Linked DNA regions of Caenorhabditis elegans. The protein of the gene in region 1 purifies or fractionates together with the protein of each later gene. This does not show direct contact. Each region holds a gene or a part of one and is shown on either strand. Other genes may lie near its edges.

Region 1 (10,567 bases):
GGTCAGGTTGAGTCCAACTCCACCGGATTCTAATGAGAGTAGCAAAATCTGACCCACTCTGGCATTGCAATCACAATGTTTCCAGAATACAGCTTCACGAAGAAATGGAAGACGACAGGAACCTAACAAGACTGAATAAGTCCCATAAGTTATTATTAATCGGAGTTCCCGTGAGACACCATCTAGAAAAGGATGAGAGCAAGCAAATAGCTTGTATTCTTTGTGAAGTGAGCATCATCGAGAATTATGCGCATCCATGCAATGCGAGCGAGAATTGAGTCTTCGTTCAGCAGAATTGTGTTGTGTTTTCCATCATTTTCTGAAAAAAAAACAAATTATAATTGGGATTTTAAAGTTGGGCAGCCCACAAGTTGGGCGTGATTTCTGAAGCTCCGCCTCTTTTCACTCATATTTCAGTCAAGATGTTCTCTTTTTTCATGTTACAAATATATGAAGCTAAGAGTGTGGCTTACCTGCATCGTCATCAATTTCCTCGTCTCTTGAACTTGTGGGCTTCTTTAGAACTTCCTTTGATACCAGGCGGTATGTTGCAATCACAATGTCAAATGAGCCAAGGCTCTCAGGGGTCAACTGTCCACTCTTGTTCCCAGTATAAACGAAAATCGAAATAAAATCCGGAGCTGCAAGATGTTTCACTTCTTCTACCCAATAGTTCACCAAAATCGGTGGTACGACTATAAGAGTGTTTTCCAACGGACACAACCCATGTTTCTTTGCAACATCTACTCGTTTTTCATCGTTCCATACTGTCTCCTGCCGTTTTTGTTTCATTTCCAGTTTCCTCTGGATAATCAGCGCAATCATGGATCGTGTTTTTCCCAGCCCCATCTCATCGGCTAGAATTCCTCCAGGTTGGGCTTGAATTTCTCGCCACATGAGCGAGTTGAGCGAATCTTTTTGATGTGGCATCAGGTTGTCGAGGAGACTGTCAGGGGCTGTCATAATGAATGTATCGCTTGTAGGAATTGTTAGACAGATGCTGCAATGATGACATATAAACATTGGAAAGACACTTTATGAAAGTGTAATTAAGTTTGGAAATTAAATACGGAAAATTCCTGTGAAAATAATTTTTTAAAGACTTTTACTCAAAAAAATGCACTGAGCCCATCGTCAGGCTGTCCAATTACGGTTTGATCTACAAAAAAAATGCGGGAATTTTCCCCCCAGGAAAAAAATCATCTCCCGCATTTCTCGAAGATCAAAACAAAATGAGGCACTTTTACACCACGTGACGAGCCCCAGTTTTTGTGAAAAAGCTACGAACTTGGTAAAATCTTGCAAAAAGCGATCAAACATCAGTTTAATTAGCAGAGCCATTCCAGTAACCTAATTCTTTTGTCATAATAAATTCCATTTTTGGTTGTACATAAAAAGCGAACAATCAACTTCATTATATTAAACTAAAGAACACCAGATCACATAAATAACACAATAAAGTGAACAAATAAAATACCCATGGCAATAAACAATTCCTATAAAAATTAAGTATACTATCCCCACACATCCTCGATGTATTGATCACTCTTTTTCAGATCCATAAGCTTCTTCTTCGCTTCCAAGTCCGGAATTCCTAAAAAAGTAAACAATAACCATTGTAAATTTCCTTTTTTTAACCTACCTTGATCACTGGCAACAATATCCGAGAAACATTGCCAAACATCTTTAGACATTCCTTTTGCGTCTCCACAGATGAAAATTTTCGACTCTGTCGATGCTGTCAAAAATGGAAGAACCTTGTCGAGATATTTTCTTAAGCCATCTTGAACTCTTTCACCCTTTTGCTCGCTTTCACAGATGATTAGATCAGTGAGGATGCCTTCGCTTACAAACATTTCAAGTTCGCTCCTGAAAATTCAAACTACGTTTTTCTTTCACGAATCAAGGAAGGACTTACATATAAATTGCATCTACAGAAGAATCACGACATCCAAAGAAGAGAACACGTGGAACATCGACAAAGTCCGATGGAGAGTCTTGTTTCAATTTTCTGGAAATTAAAAATCAATTAGAAACATTAAAAATTGAACTTATTTTACCTCAAAAAATGCAGGAATGACAGAAATACCGAGACTCCAGTTCCTGGTCCAACCATCAATAATGGCAGTTTTCCAGCCGAATTCTTTGTCATTCCAAGAGGTGGAAGTCTGAATCTAGCCGGTTCCTTTCCCAAAACTTGAACTTTATCTCCAATTCTCAAAGAATTGAGCCAATCAGTTGCGAGTCCTTTTCTCGAATGTCGACGTCCATCTGTTGCTGGGAATTCCATTTCCGAATAGATCAGACGGGCTTTTCGGTTTTCATATGATGACATACTGTACGGACGTGGGATAAGCCGTGGAAGAAGTTCTGAAACGTAAAAATTTGTAAAGAAAGTGTTAGCAACATTGTTGTTCTTAAACTTTGAAATTTCAAAAAACTTAAAATTCCGCTCAAAATGTAGTTTTTTTTAACAACTTCTTTATTTAGCTTAAAATATCGGTAAAAAATTTTAATTTTGTTTTAATAACTGGATAACGTTTTTTTTTATTTAAAAAATCTGCAACGTCAAATGAATTAGAATAATGAACCTAACTTAAAATTCAAGTAATTATTTTTATTTATTTATTATTTTTTCAACTAAACAACTCACCGATTAGTCTATCAACCGGTGGCTTCACATTTGGAAATGCGAAAAGCATGTCAGCCAATGACAATCCGGGTGTTCTAACAAAATCGGTGAAATCCTTCATTCCCTGAGCACTGCAAAGCTCCAAAAGCCGTCTTTTCTCATTTGGATCAGATGTACTTTCGGCGAGTACACGAATCAGCGGCTGAAGAAAACTACTTTTAATTTTGATTCATAAAATATGAACTCACTCTTCCTGGAGCCCGACGAATGTCTAGACACGTGGTGAACATATGACGGAGAGTTGTAATTTTGTGCACGTGTCCCGGAATTTGAGCATTGATTTTCTCAGTTTTCGGGTTAATTGAAAGCTCGCATTGTTGATCAGCAATGTCTAAAACTCCGCATCTTTTAAGGATAAAATTGACTTCAAGTGCTGGATTTGGAACACAAAAATATATGGCATCTCCCGGCTCGTATTGAAGTTCAGCAGCATGATCTGAAAATTAAAAAATGATTTTTTACTTCCAAGAAATTATAGCAGAATAATTCCAATTACTTCAAATTTTTTAACGAATCAACTGATTTTAACTGTTTTCTTCAAAAAAACCCTACCTCCGAAATCGACAGTGATCATCCGTTTCGTTTTAATTTTCTTGGAAAATGGATCAGTCACAAATTCAGCAGAGACTACAAGAACTTCGAATGGTTTCGTGACGACTCCAGGCATTTTGCACAGGTTTTGCCATTCCAATTTGGTATCTTCTGGTAGTTTTCGATTAGAAACCGACGAGACGATGAAAGGTTGAGGAGCAATTGGAACGCGCAAATTTTCATCGTTCGAGAGGGTTTGCGATCCTGTAAGTTAAGTTTTGATTTCAAATTTTTGGAGAATGTTTCTATGTGTGACACTTGACAAAAACAGTTTTTTTCAAAACTAGAACTGATTATTCCACTTTCAAAACGGTTATTCACCTTTTAAAAGAGAAATTTCGGGATAATCATAATGCTCGGGAATCAACATATCAATTCCAATAACTCTTCCTCTTCCTTCATCATCTGATTCTTCATCTTCTATTCGTTTCTGAAGTAACGCTTTCTTTTCTTCTTCAGTCTTAACTTGATTCAATTTCAAGTTTGATGATTCCGTAATTGCATTCATTTTGTCGGCGGAAATGTCGAATCTGGATGCCAGTGTTGCAAAGAATTTCTCGATCCATGGTTCAACTTCTAGTTCAAGTCTGAAAGAGGAATTACATCCTCTGAATATAAAATAAAACCAAACCCCACTTGATCGTCTGCTTCTGCACGATCAAAAAGACGATTTGCACCGAGAGCTGTCAGTTGTTTGTCAATTTTTCGAGGAATCGTTTGATAAGATGAATAGTTGGAATCGCCGAGACCTGGAAATAGTTCCTTTTCAGAATAATTTAAAAGTTAATTTTTGAGTTTGCAATAATAAAGTGCAAGAACACAAGACATTGAACTTCTTATCAGAATGATGATTAGTCATTGGCTTTTTTGAATTTTGATTTCTCTTTTTTCAATTTGCGGTTTTCAAAACTCTCACCGAGAAGAACGTAATCCAGATTCTTCAAATATTCGTTTTCCAGTGAATTTCTATTAATTCTTCTCACGAAACGTGCACAATTATCCGGTGCATCTCCATCGCCAGTTGATGAAACGACAATTGCACACAGTTTTTCTTCATTTAAATTGAACTGAAAAGTTAAATAAATTAATTTAAATTTCCAATGATTATAAAAAACAAATTGTTAAAAAAAACGTACTTTCTTCTCATTTTCATCCAGAGCGTGAAGTCTTGGCGTTAATCCGATTAACTCTGCTTTTTCCTTTAAACTTTTAGCGATAGTTTCCGCTTGCCCAGTTTGTGAGCCAAAAGCAATGAGGAAATCTGTCATTTCCTGAAAATCGATTTATTGTAGAGAAAATTTTAACGCAGGCAACGTATAATTCTGGCGGAAAAGGACATTATATTGGTCAGATTGTAATCTTGTCTGTTCAACAAGACAATGATGGCAAATTGTGATCTTTCAAAGATTGAATAACACTAACATTATCACTGTTTTTCCATTTTTTGTTAAAATTATTGTATTCAACGTGTCTCTCTTTTGGAATGAGTAAATAGTTTTTATTTTTTGAATCATGGCAACTATAAATTCTTTCTAATCTTCATTTAAAAGAGATTAGTTCTTTTTTAATAGCCGAACAAGTTTTGCATCATTATTTTTATGACGAAATATGAAAAGTGCAAGTCGGGCGCGTAATGGACGAGAATTTTTAAGGGGAAAATTTCAAAGTTGAATTAAGTTTTTGAAATATTGAACGGGAAGCTGTAAAAAACATTTTTATTCGAAGAAATACCTAAACAAAGCAAAAAAGTAAAAAAAAAGTTTTGAAAGCAGACAATCTGCATTTTTCCGTCATGGTGACTGCGGATCGTGACGAGACCTGAACATTTTCCGAAGCATGCTCCTTTAAAGTTACGGTATTTTGTTTCTGTTTTGTTTTTGAATTTACTTTTCGTTTTCAAGTTTTTTCTCTAATTTTGAATCATTTTCCCATATTTTTCAATCAAATTTTTATATCTCCACACTTTTATGAGTCTCTAATTCCTCTTCCGATTGTTTTCATGTCGAAAAACCTGAAAATCTGCCGTGCCCAATCTCAAATTTCTCCCTCTCCATTCGTGTTCTCACTGTTCCGATCTTCCGTAGCTCTCACTGTTTATATAAACAAATTGTCTGCGGCGGAAAGAGACGTCGGCGAATATCGTCAGCCCGCAAGTGGCAACCTCTCCTCTCGAATGTAAACATATCCAATACACCACTTCTTTTTTTTTCTATGTCAAGTGCTATCAAAAGTGATGAAAAGAAACTGGGAAAAGACATGTCTTCCCGTGAATCATCCAGTTCTGTTCCGGAGTAGCTAAACGTAGGAAATGCACTTTTATAGCTGAAAAAGCTGTATAAATCTGTAATCAAAATTAATTTGAATGTTTTTTTCAGTCCTCGTAGATACTTTTTATCAATAACAAACTCGATACGATTCGAATTTCCGCCCACAAAACAAAAACGGCGGTAATTGGGTAGTTGTACTGTAATTGATATATATGAATTGTGGGAGTGTGTGTGTGTGTCACAGAGCCTATTAAAATCAAATCGAATTAGAAAACTCTACAGAGAGAGCGCGTTCTTCTTATCAAGACTAGTCCTCGACAATTGATGTTGCTTCGTCATTGGCTGCAGAGAAGGGGGTTTAAACGTCGATTCGACCTTGTTTGAATTAGAAATCTTCTGTTTCGTCTGCCGTCGTAGTGTAACAATGGGCTCAGATTCGGCAAGGAGAAAGTTCGGCGCCGCAAGATTTGAACGATGTGGGTGGTTACGGATGACAATTATTTGAAAATTCCTAATATTAGTCAACTTTCGAAAGGGTTAGTTAGAATAAAATATCATATAAAATTTTGATATCGATTTCTTTAACGTGCATTCCGTGTACAGTTTCAAAAAGTCCAAAAACAAAAAAATCAGGTCAAAACCTTGAACCCTCTAGTTAATGTAAAATAAAAATTCGAAGACGCACGTGCAAAAACACAGCAATTGATCGCTGACTGGTTCGAAGGGGTTGTGTCAATGACAAGAGAATCACGAGACCCTTTTGATAAGAGAAATGATGATGATGGTGTCTTGAAGAGGGTTAGGGGCAGCTGTTTAGTTGGAATAACACATCAATATGTGTACAATTCCTCTAAAACATGTGTCAAAGATTACACATGAAAAGAAATAAAAATTCGAAAAATTGTTTGTCTTAAAATGTTTTTATCTGAAAAAGTTCCGGAATAAGTCACAAATTAGAGATCAAACAAATTTCCGGATTTCATTCATTTTTCAATATTCAAATCAGCAAACGAAAAATTCGAATCTATTCGAACTAGTTCAATTAACACCCCAACTAATTTTGGCAGTAATCGTCTCGAAAAATGAAGGCACGACGCGGAGAACTGGTTTCCTATTACTAAATATGTCAGGGTTACAGAAGAGAAGAGACAAGGGCATTCCGTTCCGTTGGTTAGATCATTATCATCAATATTTTGTTTTTAGTTTATCAAGAATTGTTTATTTTAGTTTTGGTTCGCAGTAATAACGGGATGTGGTTTAGACTTCGAAAGTTACGGTATCTTAATTTAAAAATGACGTCAACTAGACTATTCTCTAATTGGATAGAATTTAGTCAACGGGTTTTAGAAATCAATCAGTAAATTATCTCAAAATTCGTCTCTACTAGAAATTTTCAATTTGAAAATTATAGTCCAAGAAATGAGATACAAAAAATTCCTCCAAGAACAATTTAAAAAAATAGAAAAGGGTACAAATCCATTCTATTTACGATCTTTTCTACAAATTTCTCCCATGCACATAAAGCTACAGTATGTCGGTTGATTTTCTAATGGAGACGGCTCTTTTCTGACTTAAAAGTTGAGAGAAATATAATTTATATTTCTGACTACATCTAATAGTAAGAAGCTTGAGAGCGCTTAAAAATTAGAAATTACTAAAATAATTTAACTTTTTAGTAAGTGTATGCTTTTTTCGAATAATTTAAAATAAGAATTACTCAAAAATTGTAAGATATTTAAGCACAAAAACTCTTTTAGTTAAACGAACAAAGCACTGTTATACATAAGCATGTATGTATATATCTATATAACAAAAATGTACTATAGACTCAATGTTGAAGGGAAGGAAAGACACAAGGGCAGGCCAGTTCGTTTCGTAGGCAATAGAGACTCGTTGCGGCCACCTCTCTCTTGCAAACGCTATTTCCTCGCTATCCTTCACTTACACACTCGCACATAAGAGACCGCCCGTGTCTCGAGTCTCCACTTTTTACATGCTCTTTCATCAAGTATACGGTGTCTGATGCATCTCTCTGGTTTCTCTCGTCTATTGATTGAGAAATGTGTGGGGATAGGGGGCGCAGCACGACGAAAAACGAAAAAGCGACGTTAGAGAGATGGAGAGTGTCTGTGGTTGTGTGTGTGTGTGCCTCAACCATCTTCGGCAGAATTTGTTGAATAGACATTTATCTCACGTTTTTTTTCGTAGATTTGAAAAGTAGATTTTTTCCGCTAATTTTGTTATTTTATGAGAATCTTTTAACATTTAACTACTTACTTTTATAAATTCCGCGCAATTTTCGTTCAGAAGTTCAACATTTTGGATTTTAGAATAATGATTTTTAAAATAACTGAAATACAATACAAAATTCAATTTATTTTATGTAAATTTAAATATTTTAGTTCAGAATTAGAAAAAAAAACATCAAAAATAATCCAATTTGTTTTGTTTTTGAATTTTTATTAATGATTTTTTAATATCATATAATACTTTTTGCGAAAAGAAATGTTCGTTATTTTCTAATTTTCAGTGCCCTTGGTCTTTTAATTTTTTATAAGTAGTCAACTATTATATAAAATTCAGAAAAATTTCCAATTTTTCATTATTCGTTGCTAATGAAATTTTAGAAAAAGAAAATGTCACGAGTAGTATATTTTCAAATTTATTATGCATATTTTTGGAATTACTAATGTGAAATTTCTTGGTGTTTAATTTTGGTCACTTTTGGAAGTTAAATGAAATTCTCGGAATCGTGACTCAACTAGACTTTTTTTTCAATCAAATTAAATAATTTCAGTGGTCTTTGTTTTGTTCAATTATTCCTTCAAAAAGTTATGAATCATACTTTATGAAAACAAAAAAGAAAAAAATCAATTAGTGACACCTGGCACCAGTTTTTTCCAGCTGCTGAACAGATTCCGTATTTTATAGTTTTTTTTTCAACTTTTTACGGAAAACTATTGACGAAAAATATGAAATAATCAATATTGTTCTGTAAATTCCTCATTTTCTGAACAACCTACGCACAATTTACAATTTTCAATCCAATGGGGATACTGTAGAAAAGGTTTCTGAACGAAGGAAAAGAATGTGAAAAAACGGGGAAAACATTTCGCAATCATCTTTTCTCTCTCACTCTAAGAGTTCGTTTTCTTTTTTCTTTTCTCTCGCAAATACACACACACACAACGACACATCCATTATTTCTCCCCCACACACACAATTTTCCGCTTTTTTCCTGATGCTCCATTGCTCTTAGCAATTTTCTGCGTGTGTGTGGAAATTATCCAATAATTTTATGAAAAGTAACTCTATCAATTAGCCCCACGGACTACCAAAATTTCTTGGCATTTGCCTGTCATAAATGTATTTTATGGGGTCGCTGAGCAGCACTTTTCACCAATTTTCAAAGCCCACTTTGTCCAAAAAAGGCAGATACTGTAGTTTTATGTGAAAATTGAAGAAAATTGGAGAAACATGCTCTGCTAGACTAGTATTATCTACTTTTTTTCTAGACTACAATTTATTTTACGATTTTTATCTATTTTTGGCTCACGTTTTCTTGTTTCCAGGCAACTAGTTATTTTGGGTTTTTTTTCGTATTTTTGTAGACTTGTTGTGGAGATTTTGAGTACAAAAGTTGAAATGGAACATTAACTATTATTTATTTTTCAAAAATTTCCAAAAAAAAAGTGTATTTTTCATCATGAAAAATGTTTTCAAAGTTTAATTTTCCTCTATTATTTAAATTAATTCATTTCAATTTTCGACTCTCGAAAATAATAATTTTTGTGTCAATTTTTTCTGGTTTTCCTCAGCTCACACCGCTTTTTTCTCGATTTTTTGGGCTGTCCTCTAGGAAAAAAAACTTTTCGCAACCCATTTTTTTCATTTCACTTACCCTAACTCTCCATATGTCGTCTCCCGTCCGACACCAATATTGACATAAACTTTTTTCAAAAACTAAAGTACACAAAAAGGGTCCAGTCATTCATCAACGAGGGAATTGAAATCTTGAGAATAAAACCTTGTAGCTATTTTTTGAAATTGGAAATTGTTTAAAAATTCTCATATAGTTCTGAGATATTTTACTATCGTAGAAAAACGTTACAATTTTTTGAGACTTTTTAAAAATTAACAGTAAAAAATCAGGTAAAATAGTTTTGGAAGCCGACCAAAAAACCCAAAATTTTTTGAGAAAAAATCTAAAATTGTTTTATTTATTATGATCACTTTCGATTATTATAATTATATTTCTACAAAATCCCCACTACTCCACCTTAAATAAAATGAACATATCTTCAATTTAAAATCAAATACTTTGACACCTTCATTTTTCCATTATCAACTACAAAAAACAATTGTTGTCAATCTTTTTCTACCGTTTTCCGTCACTTTTTCAATTGACAGTCGACCGATTTATTTTTTGATCGATCGATCGTTTTTATTATCTATTCGATAATATGAATGATAATATCGTGCCTGTCCGTCTCTCTTTTTTCACTTACTTATTCTTCTATTCATTTCTGCAGCTGATAGTAATTTGGCTTTGAAAACGGAAAAAAACTATAGACAATGTTTTTCTTAATTTAAAAATATTTCTGGAACTTTTTACTTAATTTTTTAGCTAATCAAAAAAACTATAATTTTCACGATTTCAATTTTTTTTTTCAAAATTTCTGAAGACCCAGAATAGCGGCCGAAAGATCACATTTTCTTTCTATTAAAACTTGATTGAACGATAATTGTACTTTTCACACCACTGATTGCCTTTTCTCTCGTGATTGAATTTGAAATTCCTTTTATTGATTGTCGATCGTATTTCTTTTTTTTTTTCAAATTTCTCCACCTTCTCATTATTAAAATAGTTTTTTTTTCAGTAAAAGGGAATGCGCTGAGATTGTCCATACTTACCCTAATCACACAAAATTCTGAAAAATGACAACGGTGCGGCTTCATCTGCGTCGAATTATGTGCAATTCTAGTCGAGCACAAACTGCTCAGCATACTGAAGAAG
Region 2 (10,567 bases), 1.5 Mb from region 1:
CAGCATTCGATGCTCCGTCCACCAAAAGAAGAGAAGAATGAGACAGAGCTTTCGCGTGTTGTACTTGATAATCCGTCTGATGATCATCCCACTGAGTCCGTCTAATACTTGAACTTTAGCATTTATTCAACTAGATGAAGATTTCTTGATTATTGATATTTTATTAAACAAGGAAGCCGGAAATAAATAAAATAAAAGAGGGAGCGATTTTGAATCGGGGGTTGTTGAAGCTAAAACTTAATAGGGTAATACTGGTAATAGAGAATAAGGGGAAGTGTCCCAACCAATGGTGTATTTCATCAACGGAAGTGAATATCGTGGTGGAAAATTGAATGAATTGAAATCAGACGTGTCAAAAAGTCAAATTAGTTTGATGATTTTTACTTTTTCAGCTCGTCGAGGGCCTTTTGAAGTACGTCGAAAAGAACTGATGGCTTCTGGAAGTCGTTGTCGACGAGAGTAACCAAACGGAACTCATCATGAACAGCCTTGATGACTCCATATGATTTAGATTCTTTTGGATAAAAATCTCCCCTAAAATTAAACAATTAGACAGAACGAGTGATTAGATACCTTACCATTGGGCCATCCACATTTGGTAAGCTTCATCTCTCCATGCGCGGAAAGAGAGTGGATCGACGACTGTTGGCTGGGCAATCTCAGATCCTGGGAATACTCCCCAAGTAACTGCAATCGGAGTGGTTTCTTCGCTGTTGGTCTTGTCGAAGGTACTCTGAAGAAGAATTTATTTTATGGTTTTTAAAATTACTTTTTAAACATACATCCTTATTGATGGCATGGTAGTTAACTCTGACTGGGAATTCTCTCTCGATGATTTGAATGAGCTTGTCGGACAACTCCGCGGTCATGAAGCATTCGAGGTATGCCTTTTGGTAGCAGTAACCTCCTGGTTTTCCCCACCCAACAAGTGGATCAGTGGATGGAGCTCCATTAACTGATGGCTGACTGTTGACGGTCAGAATTCCATTCTCATTACACCAAACAAGTTGTTCACTGATCAATGAAGTTTCTGGCTGAACACCAGTTTCAGCTTCTGTCCATGGAAGTACAGTAACCTTGACGCCATCGGCGTTTGGAGCTTGAGTAATGTAGTTGATGAACACGCGCTTGACGTCTTCAAAACTCTCGATGTTGGCTCCGAACATAGCTAGACGGTCATCGGCGTTTCGAACAGTCTGAAATTTTATCTGTGAGAAAGTTCTAACACAATCTTTGAACGAACCGTCAAATTAGACAAGTAGTAGCTGCTGACATCTCCAAATGCTGGCGATGAACTGTTTCCCCATCTTCCGTTAGGGAATTGATCCCAATCACGAGTTCTGGTGATGTAACTGCGTGGGCGGAAACTCCAGTAAATTGGACGAACACTTTCCAGACATCTGATAGGATGTTGCGAACGATTTTTCCATGGGAAAACACGATCACCCTCGAGTTTCCAGAGACCAAGAGATTTGAGAATTTCACGAATACTTCCTTCACGATTCATAGTGTATAGATGGATGGAAGGGGCAGTTCCATTGTCAAGAAGACGGCGGCACATTTCAATGCAACGCTCTGTTCCGTACTTTTGAACAGCATCATCATCGTGCTTGATTGGTTCGAGATCATCAAGAATATGTTGTGGAATCTCAAGTTGTGAGAGTTTGGCAATACGTTTGATAGACTCATAACCCATAATTGGCATGATTCCCGGAATAATTGGCTGAGTGATTCCAATTTCACGGCAGTCGCGCACAAACTTTTCGAAAGTTTCAGCCTCAAAGAATAATTGAGTAATGACGAAGTTTGCTCCAGCATCACATTTTGCCTTCAAGTACATAAGATCAGCTTTGTAAGACGGAGCTTGTGGATGTCCAAGAGGATATCCTGCGCAACCAATTGAGAAGTAGTTTCCATATTCTTCGCGGATCCAGCGGATCATATCAAGTGCACGGAATTGATGGGTATCTTCGAGCTCAGTCTAAAATTGAAAAATATTATTTAATTTTTTGACAATCTTGTTTCATGATTAACTTACGCCCGGTGGGAGATCTCCTCTCAAAGCAAGAATACTTCTCAATCCCATTGCCTTGGCTTGCTCGAGATGTTTCAAAGTATCAGCTTTATTGTATTGAACACAAGTCATATGCAACATAGTGTCGACTCCACAATAATCAAGCATTGAAGCAGCAATCGAAGACGATGAAGTCACTTTATCGACGTTAGCTGGATCACTTCCCATATGCCATGTCATATCGACAAAGACGGATCCACCTTCGGAAAGACGTTCAACACGCTCTAAGAAGTTTGGAACTCCATTGACAAATCGAGGTGGGAAGAATTCAAGAGAGAAGAATTGTTGTTTCTCATCGATAAGACGTTCAATTCTCTCGTGAAGAAGTTCATAATGCCTGAAATATAAATTTGTTTAGTAATAGCTTTATATCTGATCAAAACTTACTTTGGTGACCAGCTCTTTCCAGATTCCAGAGTTATCTTCTCCTCGACAACCGCATTCTCATCGGTCTCAACACCACTGAAATTCAAAATATTATATTATTCGATCAAAAAACCTGAATCAACAACCCACTTTTTACTTAAAACGGCCATTTCAACTAGAGTCTCCGAGGAAACAAAATTTGTTAGCGACAAATGAAGAAATGTGGCAAACAGGATTCTAAGGGCGGAGTGTTATATATCTTCTCCAGAATCATCATGTGATTCGATATGAATCTCGGGAGAGATCTAGGAACGTAACAATTATGATTTGGACAACTTGTTCTTTGATACTGACACAGTAGGAAAGTACTTTTTTTCAAATTTTTCAGAACTTCGGAAAACAAAAAGCTGATGTTGAACTAATACAGTGCTACATCGAAATAATAATTCACTATCATCAATGATATATTAGCTTTTTCTTGTTTGAAATTTCGGATCGAATAAATTATTTCCCTGTATTTTTCCTTGGAAATTTCTTGCTTGGTGTCTTTTGTTCCACTTAATAGAGAGATACTGATCAAATTGTCTCCTAGAAGGCAAGAAAACACGGTTAGATTTAAATTTGATAGATCAGTATTCGATCTTTTCCGAGTGCAGAGAGAATAATGTGTCGCAGAGGACTAACAAACTTTTTTCTGATAATAGACACGTTTTGTACTCTGCCGTGTTCACCTTCATTGATAAGATATTGTGGGGTGATAAGAGATGAAATCATTAGCAACGATAAGTAATTACTATGTTTCTAAAAGTCAATTAGCTCATTTTTGAAAAAAATACTATTTGTGATTCAAAAGGTTGCAACTTGCAAATATTTTGGACAATTCTAGTATATAAATGCACCATGTTTCTCCGACATTTTTCGTTAAAAATTAGTTTTAAAATATAGGAAATCAATCGATTTAGCTGTAAATATAGTTTACTTCGGATGATAATTTTGAAAAAGTGCTTAAAAATTACTTGGAAGTTGCAAATTGCCGATTGTCGAATTATCAAGCTTTGTTTTTCGGTAATTGGCAACTTTCAGGTCATTTTCTGCATTTTCTCATATGTTTCTTTTTTTTTAACTAAACATTCTAACTTTAGCCATAATCAGCGTGCTTTTTTTTTGAAAATTTCAAGTTCTTGAAATTGAACAGAAATTGTATTTTTTTTTTGAAAGGTTTTCACTCTCAACAATATAAAAATGCCCAAATCACGTGAATATCAATGGTATCCAACAGTTGACACTGATAAGAGATCAGTTTGTGATCGCAGTGGGACAAATGGGTGGTAGACATGTCTTCTGATAAGATAGAGGTCAAGTAGGTAGAATTGGTAGAAAGGAGGCATATTTCAGTGCTTTTTTTAAAAGCATTTTGAGACATAAAAAGATGCTCTAAGTTTAGAAGATTAATATAAAGAACCTACCAATATGGCATTGTGGACAGAGAATCGATCTTCTTAATGGTTCCATGAGATTCAATAACTTTAGTTTCTCCAGTATTCGTCATTTTCCTTGGTTCGTTTTAACCGTAGTTATTCTCTGTCGGGAACCACGAATCCGTTGTTTGATGAGATTCACCGACTGAAATTTGCTCGTATTAAGTCCGATTCTTTTATACAATCAGAGAAAAGGGCGGAGCGTTAAGGTGGCAAACGGTTGGTAAATTGGAAAAAAGAGAAGTCATAGAACTATCAATGTCCGCTAAATGTTCTTAATCTAAGCAAAAATGACAAGAAAATGAGAAACAAACGTGCTTCTGGCATAAAACCACTTGTTTTGTTCAATATTTATATAGAAGGAACATAGCATGCTGGGTCTCTCGTTCTCTCACTAAAGCGTTCGTCGTGGCACTCAGTGCACTTTTGCATACATGAAGCAATACACATTCTCAGCGGGGCGCCGATTCCTTCATAGAAATCGGATTCTTACAAAAGACAAAAAAGATAAATCGAAACATTTTTTGAAAATAGCGGTATTTGAAGCAGAAAAAGTGAGTGGGGAAGTCTTTTAATTTGATAACAAATGAGTATTAACAATATTTTGGTGCATGATGACCTGTGAACGATTTGGTTGGGTTGTTATCGGGGCAACAACAATAATGTTTTGCCAAAAATTTGCCAAATAGTTCAACGTGGAACTTCTCTTTGTTTGTCTTATGCAGTGATGTTTATATGGAGATGCCAGTGCCATGTTGTACGGTACCTGACACGATTAAAAATATGTCAACAAAAACAAGTGTACGCCTTTAAAGAGTACAGTAGTTTCAGCAGTTTGCTGATTTCTTAGTTTTTTATCGTTTCCTGTTTTTTAAGCTTCAATTTTTAATAAACAGTGAGTGTGAAAACTAAGAAAAATTGAACAACGGTACTCCTTAAAACCGCACTCCTCTCCTTTCACTGAAAATTATTGGCCGTTTCGAGACCGGGTACCGTAATTTTTAAACAGCGAAATTTAGCATTTAGGTATTTGCTCTATTATTCAACTTTGAAAATTCTGTTGTTTTCTCAAAACAAAATTTTTTTTTTGTAGTTTTTATAACATATTAAATATTTTCTGATATCTGCAGTCATATAAGTTATTTGGTGCAAGAGTAACTGAGAAAATACGGATGCGTTCTAGAAAAAAAGGATAAGTAAGAAAGTCGTAGATAGTTACTATTTGATAGTATCTCAAGAAAGAATGGGAAACTAAGCAAGACCTTGAACTAATCGTCATTTGAAGAGAACTTTAGCATAGTACGTTTTCAAACGAAAACCACAATTTCTCAATACTGCCTTCCCATCACAAACGAAAATTTTATCCTATAGGATTAAAACCAATTTTCAGTAGAACTACAACAAGATTCTGAAAAGTGCACTCAATGCTTTCACGAATGGGCTACAGCACAAGATGATAACTGTATGAAATAATCATGTAATGCACGATATCAGGCCATTTCAATTGGTCTTTTGCGGCGATTTATCACTGGTGATAATTGGAAGTTGGACAGATAAAAGTATAAGATTGAAAAGATTGAACCAACAGAGATTAATAAAATAACAAAAGTCGGAGATGATAGGCAACTCAGCAGCAAATTTAATTTAATTTTCAAAAAAAAAATTCATGTAGTATAATTTTCATTAAAAAAAATGGTTAGCAAGGAAAATGAAATGATTATGTTTCTTCGTCTTCAATAACTTCCAGCTTAATTTGACTTGTCAACTTTTTCAAATGTTTATCCGTAGCCTCGACTTGTCCATGCCATGCGTGCAGTTTGTTGGCCCATTCATCACTGATTCGAGGTTTCACTTCAACTACGCTGGCCGATTTTCTGTTCTTCTTGTTCGCAGGCGATGTGAATGATTCGTCACTGAATAATTTAATAATTTTTAATTGAAGAAAAAAACAAAAATCTTCACTTACATTTGGGAAGCAGTTATCGGAGCAGAAGTTTGTGGGATTTGTTCTCGTTTCACTTCAACCAATTTCGCATTTGCACGTTTTGGTGCCCGAATTCTTGCAACTCCCGATGTTCCCTGCTTGCCTACTTTACCGCCCAATGAATCTTCAGGTATTTCAGGCTTTATTCTGGCAGCATACTCATTTCGTAGAACTTCTTCAGCCAATGCATTATCGTCTAATAACTCTTCAGGATTAACTGTTGTCGTTTTTCTGCGTCGCCGTTGTCTTACAGGGCGATCAATCGGGCTGTAAAAATAGGTTATTATTTTGGGGTTAAACTGTAATTGCTTACATTGGAACCTGAGCATCATTATCATCCAAACATTCCTGGGCGATGTCACCAAACGTTCTTGCGGTAAGATGTTTGAAGTTTTCTGCAAAAGTTGAACGCTGACTTTTGAAAAAAAAAAACATATTTTCGTGTAATAAATGTACCTTCCATGTTTGGATCAAGATGCCTTCTTTGTCTAGTGTGTTTTAGTCCTTCAGCATATGCTTTACTTCTCAAAGTTGATCTGCTTGAACCAGCTGTTTCCTCTGGAGCGCTACTAATTTCTGGATTTGTTGGAGAACTTTCGAACTGTTCTTTATATTTTTCGACAATGCCCTTGATTTCGTGTAATGGTGATTTGAGCCCCGTTAGAGTATCACTTAGTCCAAGTTTTTGCTTAGCCTCTGTGTAAACTCCGTGAATAAATGATAATTCCGTCATAATATCAGAACTGAGCATTTTCGTAACACTGGAAAACGGCTCCTGAAACTGTTTATGAAAAAATTCCAATAATTTAACTTACTTACAACTGGAATTTTGTTAAAATAGGGCAACTCTTCCTCGGCAAGGTATTTTTTGTGGGTTGCCGGATCATATGTCGACTGAAACACTTTAATTCTAAACGCTTTCTTCAGAATAAGCATTTTGAGAGCCGCAATTGGTTCAAGAAGTTTTTCGACTTCTAAAGATTTTTGAAATTCGAGAAGCTCTTCGAATTGTACCGCAGTGACCGGAATCTGAATTAAATTTTTTAAAACTAAATTAAACTTAGAATTAATCACCTGACAGACATGATCAACTGGCTGCAAATTGTACAACGCATAGCAAACATAAACTCCGAATAGCCTCTCCTGAAAATATAACATTTCAGACTTATTTTTACTTCTATTTCAAACCTTGAATGCCCTGAATGCTCCAACTTCATTCACTTTTCCGAAATACATTGCTGCGTGTTGTAACAGGTATTCAGTAAACTGAAAGCCGGAATATTATAATAGACTAAATAAAATCAAAATAAAGCTACCTCTAAGCATTCGGCAGGATTTAATCGATAATGAAGAATGGTCTCAAAATGCATATCCCGAAAAACATCAGCAAAGTCTCGAATTCTTAATTAATCAAGATTTTCCATCAAATAATACATTTTCTAACTATACCTGTTGGATCCCATAGATATAAACTTGTTGCACAATAAATGAAGATCTTGTTTAACTCCAGTTCCCATAAATGGCGTGGGAATACCTCCAGAAGCCATTGCGACTCGTTTTTTCCTTGAATCTTCAGAAATAAATCCGAAAATAATTGACGAAAATAAAAACATGCAAGTGCGCTCTATCGTGAACAACCAATTCTCGGCGGGAACCAGCGGTATTCAACGCATTTCAAAATGAGTTGCGCCTCAATTTACCTAAAAATATTGTTTTTCAATCGTTTTGATATAATTTAGCTCAAAATATTCCCATAAAATTAGTTTAAATATATTCGCAATCAATTTTACGCTTTATTAAAACATCAAAAGCTATAGATCTGCGTGAAACGTTCTTATAAATCGTGTTGCCGTGAAAAATATTCTACTGATCGTTTTCTATCGAAACATTTTCATGTTTTCAGAAGAATCGAACTTCAATCAGTATGCCTGACGACGAGGAGAAGCTCCAATTACTTGCTGTAACGTTTTATCATTTCATCTATTACCAACTAAACCTAATATTTCAGGACGTTGAGAGGCTCAAGAAAATTCTCCGTCAAAAAGATGAAATGCTCGAGGAGATGGAAGACGATCTCAAAAATCAGGGAAAACCTTGTTCTTCCAAACTTTCACTCGAAGAACGTGCACAAGAATTGAGTGAACAACTTCGCGATCTTCATGTTGAGATGGACGGAAAAAACGCCACAATTCTTGATCGGGACGCTCTCATCGATTCACTGCGTAGTGAGATCGACAAACTCGAAAAAATTGTAGGTTTTCATCATTGTGGGCAACATTAATATATTGAATTCTCAGAATAAGGAGTTTGCCAACGGATCAGTGATTCCCGAACATGATGATTCCAATTCCTTCGGAGAATCTGAAATGCTTCGTATTAGCGAAGATTGTCAGAAATACAAAGAGACGGCGACTGCTCTTTACGAACGAAACGCCGAACTCGAAAAAGAAGCGGTCAACTTGAAAGATGAAATTGAGTCGATGATGGATCATATTCGGGACCTCAAAAATCATATGGAGACGCGTGATGAGGAAATTGCCAGATTGGAAGGAGAGCTTTTTGATGAGAGAAACTCCCATGAAGGAAAATTAGCGGCACGCGGAAATTCAATGTTTTCTGAGGTAGGTTAAAAAATATCAATTAACTGCATTTTTTTTAATATTCTTCAGGTTATTGATGCCGAGCGGAAGGTTGAAGAAGACCTGAAAGTTCTTCATGGAGAGAATCGAGCACTGAAAGGGATGGTAAAACGTCTTCGAATGGAAGTAGAAGAAGTCGAAGAAAGACTTCGGTCATCCACAAAAAGATTCAACGTTACCCGAATGACCACAAGTGATATTGATGTCAAAGAGATGCGTCGTCTCAGAGACAGAGTTTGTCACCTGGAAACGGAAAGGGTTCATTTGTGGGAAAGAATGTTCATTAAAATGAGGTCAATTCCAAAACGCGAAGTGGGAGCGTTGATTACCGGCTACTTCAAGTCGTTCGAATTGTCAATTGCGAGCGTGAAAGGAGGTTTTGACGGTTTGATGAAGGACAACGAAAAGTACGTGACAATTATTCGTGGATTGCAACAGGAAGTAGAAAATCTCAAAGCGGACATTGTGCAACTACAATTCGACAATAAATGTGCTCACAGAAAAGCTGCACCAGTTGTCAATAAGGATTTCGAGCACCCGCTTCTTGCTGCTCCTCTGAAAACTCTTAACAATGGACGACCATCATTCTTCATTAAACCGAAAAACGTGGAACCCATGCCTCAATTAGGGCATTCATTATCCAGTATTGCCGTTACGCCACAGGTAGATAAAAGTGCAACTTTTCACTATAAATAATTATTTTTCCAGAAACCAGCAGCTAAATTCACCACTCGTTCCTCCATCAAAGATGATACTTCAGAATGGGCAGAACGTCGTATGAAAGCTCAAGCTGAAAAGAAATTGGCGACTCCGACGCCGCGTTACAACTATATCAAACTGTCCGAGCCCGTTCCAAAATTCAAACCGGCTGTTCTTCAAATGCCATCAACCTCAGAAACAAAGGAAAACTGAGTAAACATCATGTTCGTAGTCATCTCGTATTCATATAAAACCGCCTGTATTGATCTCGTCCCCTCTATTCACCAAGTTTTGTCGATTATTCTACAATGTTTCCTATTTAATGCATGTCAAATAAAATTATTTTTATTATAACGCTCATTCTTAGATTGTTGATGTTCAAGAACTTGATAGAGCCGCTGGCGGGAGTGCAGTGGAGCGCGAAACCCTATCGATATTACACGATCACTTATTGATTTATATATTTTTAATATTTATTATTGTAAATATGGGGTAGAATATAGAAAAATATTTTCCAGATTTTCTCTTCCCTACAATCTTCGGAGATCTCGTATGGATATGCTTTCGATATAGGTTCAGTTCTTACTACTAGTAACATTTGAGAGAGCTTAAAATTTAAAAATTGTAAACCGTTCGAATTTGTTCTGGTGTGGGGTTCGCATGATATTGATCGTTTTTAATATTTACGATGATTTTTTGTGTTGTGCGAGGGTGTTTTAAAATTTGAATTTGCCGCCGAATGAAGTAGAACAAGAACGCAAATGCGCTCTGTGGCGAATGGTGTTCGACAAAAAGTTTTTAAGATCATTTTCTCAGCAAAATTTCGTTTCCTTTCTAATTTTTCCATTTCAGACATCACATTTCGTCCGGAAAGCAGATGCCGAAGAAGAACAATACAAAACGAGCACCACCAAGGTATTTTTATAACATTTTGATAAAAATAATTATCTAATATTTCGTTTAGTGTACCAAAGCCGTCCGGTCCGCCACCTCGATTACTTCAACTGACATCCTCAGATGGACATTTGTTGCAGGGAGACATCCGGGCCCTCCTCCTCTCAAGTACACTTGCTGCAACCATCAGAGAGCTAGGATATGACAAGGAATACTGTGCTGAATTAAAACCGGTACCTGTGAACAATGTTGTTGGATTTACATTAAAATTACTGATTGAATGGTGCGATAAACACAAAGAAGATGATCCTGCAATTGCACTGGCCGAGAAGGACAAGAAAAATATTTGCATTCCTTCCTGGGATAGACATTTTCTCAGTAGACTGCCAATGTCAAATTTGTTCGATCTGATTACTGCTGCATATCATTTGGA

Evidence for each region.
Region 2: the proteins of mtrr-1 (region 1) and mthf-1 fractionate together in Caenorhabditis elegans (co-fractionation; one large-scale study listed by BioGRID). This does not show direct contact.

What each region holds. Positions count from the first base shown.
Region 1 is NC_003280.10:9,279,962-9,290,528, reverse strand, and holds mtrr-1 (Methionine synthase reductase), read right to left. Parts: upstream 4,555-10,567; 5' UTR 4,552-4,554; coding exon 4,420-4,551; intron 4,351-4,419; coding exon 4,200-4,350; intron 4,033-4,199; coding exon 3,915-4,032; intron 3,871-3,914; coding exon 3,605-3,870; intron 3,488-3,604; coding exon 3,245-3,487; intron 3,129-3,244; coding exon 2,881-3,128; intron 2,835-2,880; coding exon 2,654-2,834; intron 2,371-2,653; coding exon 2,061-2,370; intron 2,012-2,060; coding exon 1,919-2,011; intron 1,870-1,918; coding exon 1,643-1,869; intron 1,595-1,642; coding exon 1,515-1,594; 3' UTR 1,397-1,514; downstream 1-1,396. Other genes in the region: Germ layers disorganized gldi-3, read left to right, coding at 10,489-10,567. UniProt on the Caenorhabditis elegans protein: Involved in the reductive regeneration of cob(I)alamin cofactor required for the maintenance of methionine synthase in a functional state.
Region 2 is NC_003280.10:7,773,761-7,784,327, forward strand, and holds mthf-1 (putative methylenetetrahydrofolate reductase (NADPH)), read right to left. Parts: upstream 4,064-10,567; 5' UTR 3,990-4,063; coding exon 3,907-3,989; intron 2,746-3,906; exon of another isoform or gene 2,611-2,745; coding exon of another isoform or gene 2,591-2,610; intron 2,537-2,590; coding exon 2,462-2,536; intron 2,412-2,461; coding exon 2,039-2,411; intron 1,982-2,038; coding exon 1,244-1,981; intron 1,197-1,243; coding exon 783-1,196; intron 734-782; coding exon 579-733; intron 535-578; coding exon 381-534; 3' UTR 148-380; downstream 1-147. Other genes in the region: C06A8.6 (U2A'/phosphoprotein 32 family A C-terminal domain-containing protein), read left to right, coding at 4-105; snpc-1.1 (snRNA-activating protein complex subunit 1), read right to left, coding at 5,636-5,831, 5,885-6,169, 6,216-6,297, 6,359-6,677, 6,722-6,931, 6,977-7,045, 7,091-7,168, 7,219-7,303 and 1 more; Spindly-like protein spdl-1, read left to right, coding at 7,827-7,862, 7,911-8,153, 8,200-8,523, 8,572-9,204, 9,250-9,453; skr-17 (Skp1-related protein), read left to right, coding at 10,118-10,155, 10,205-10,567.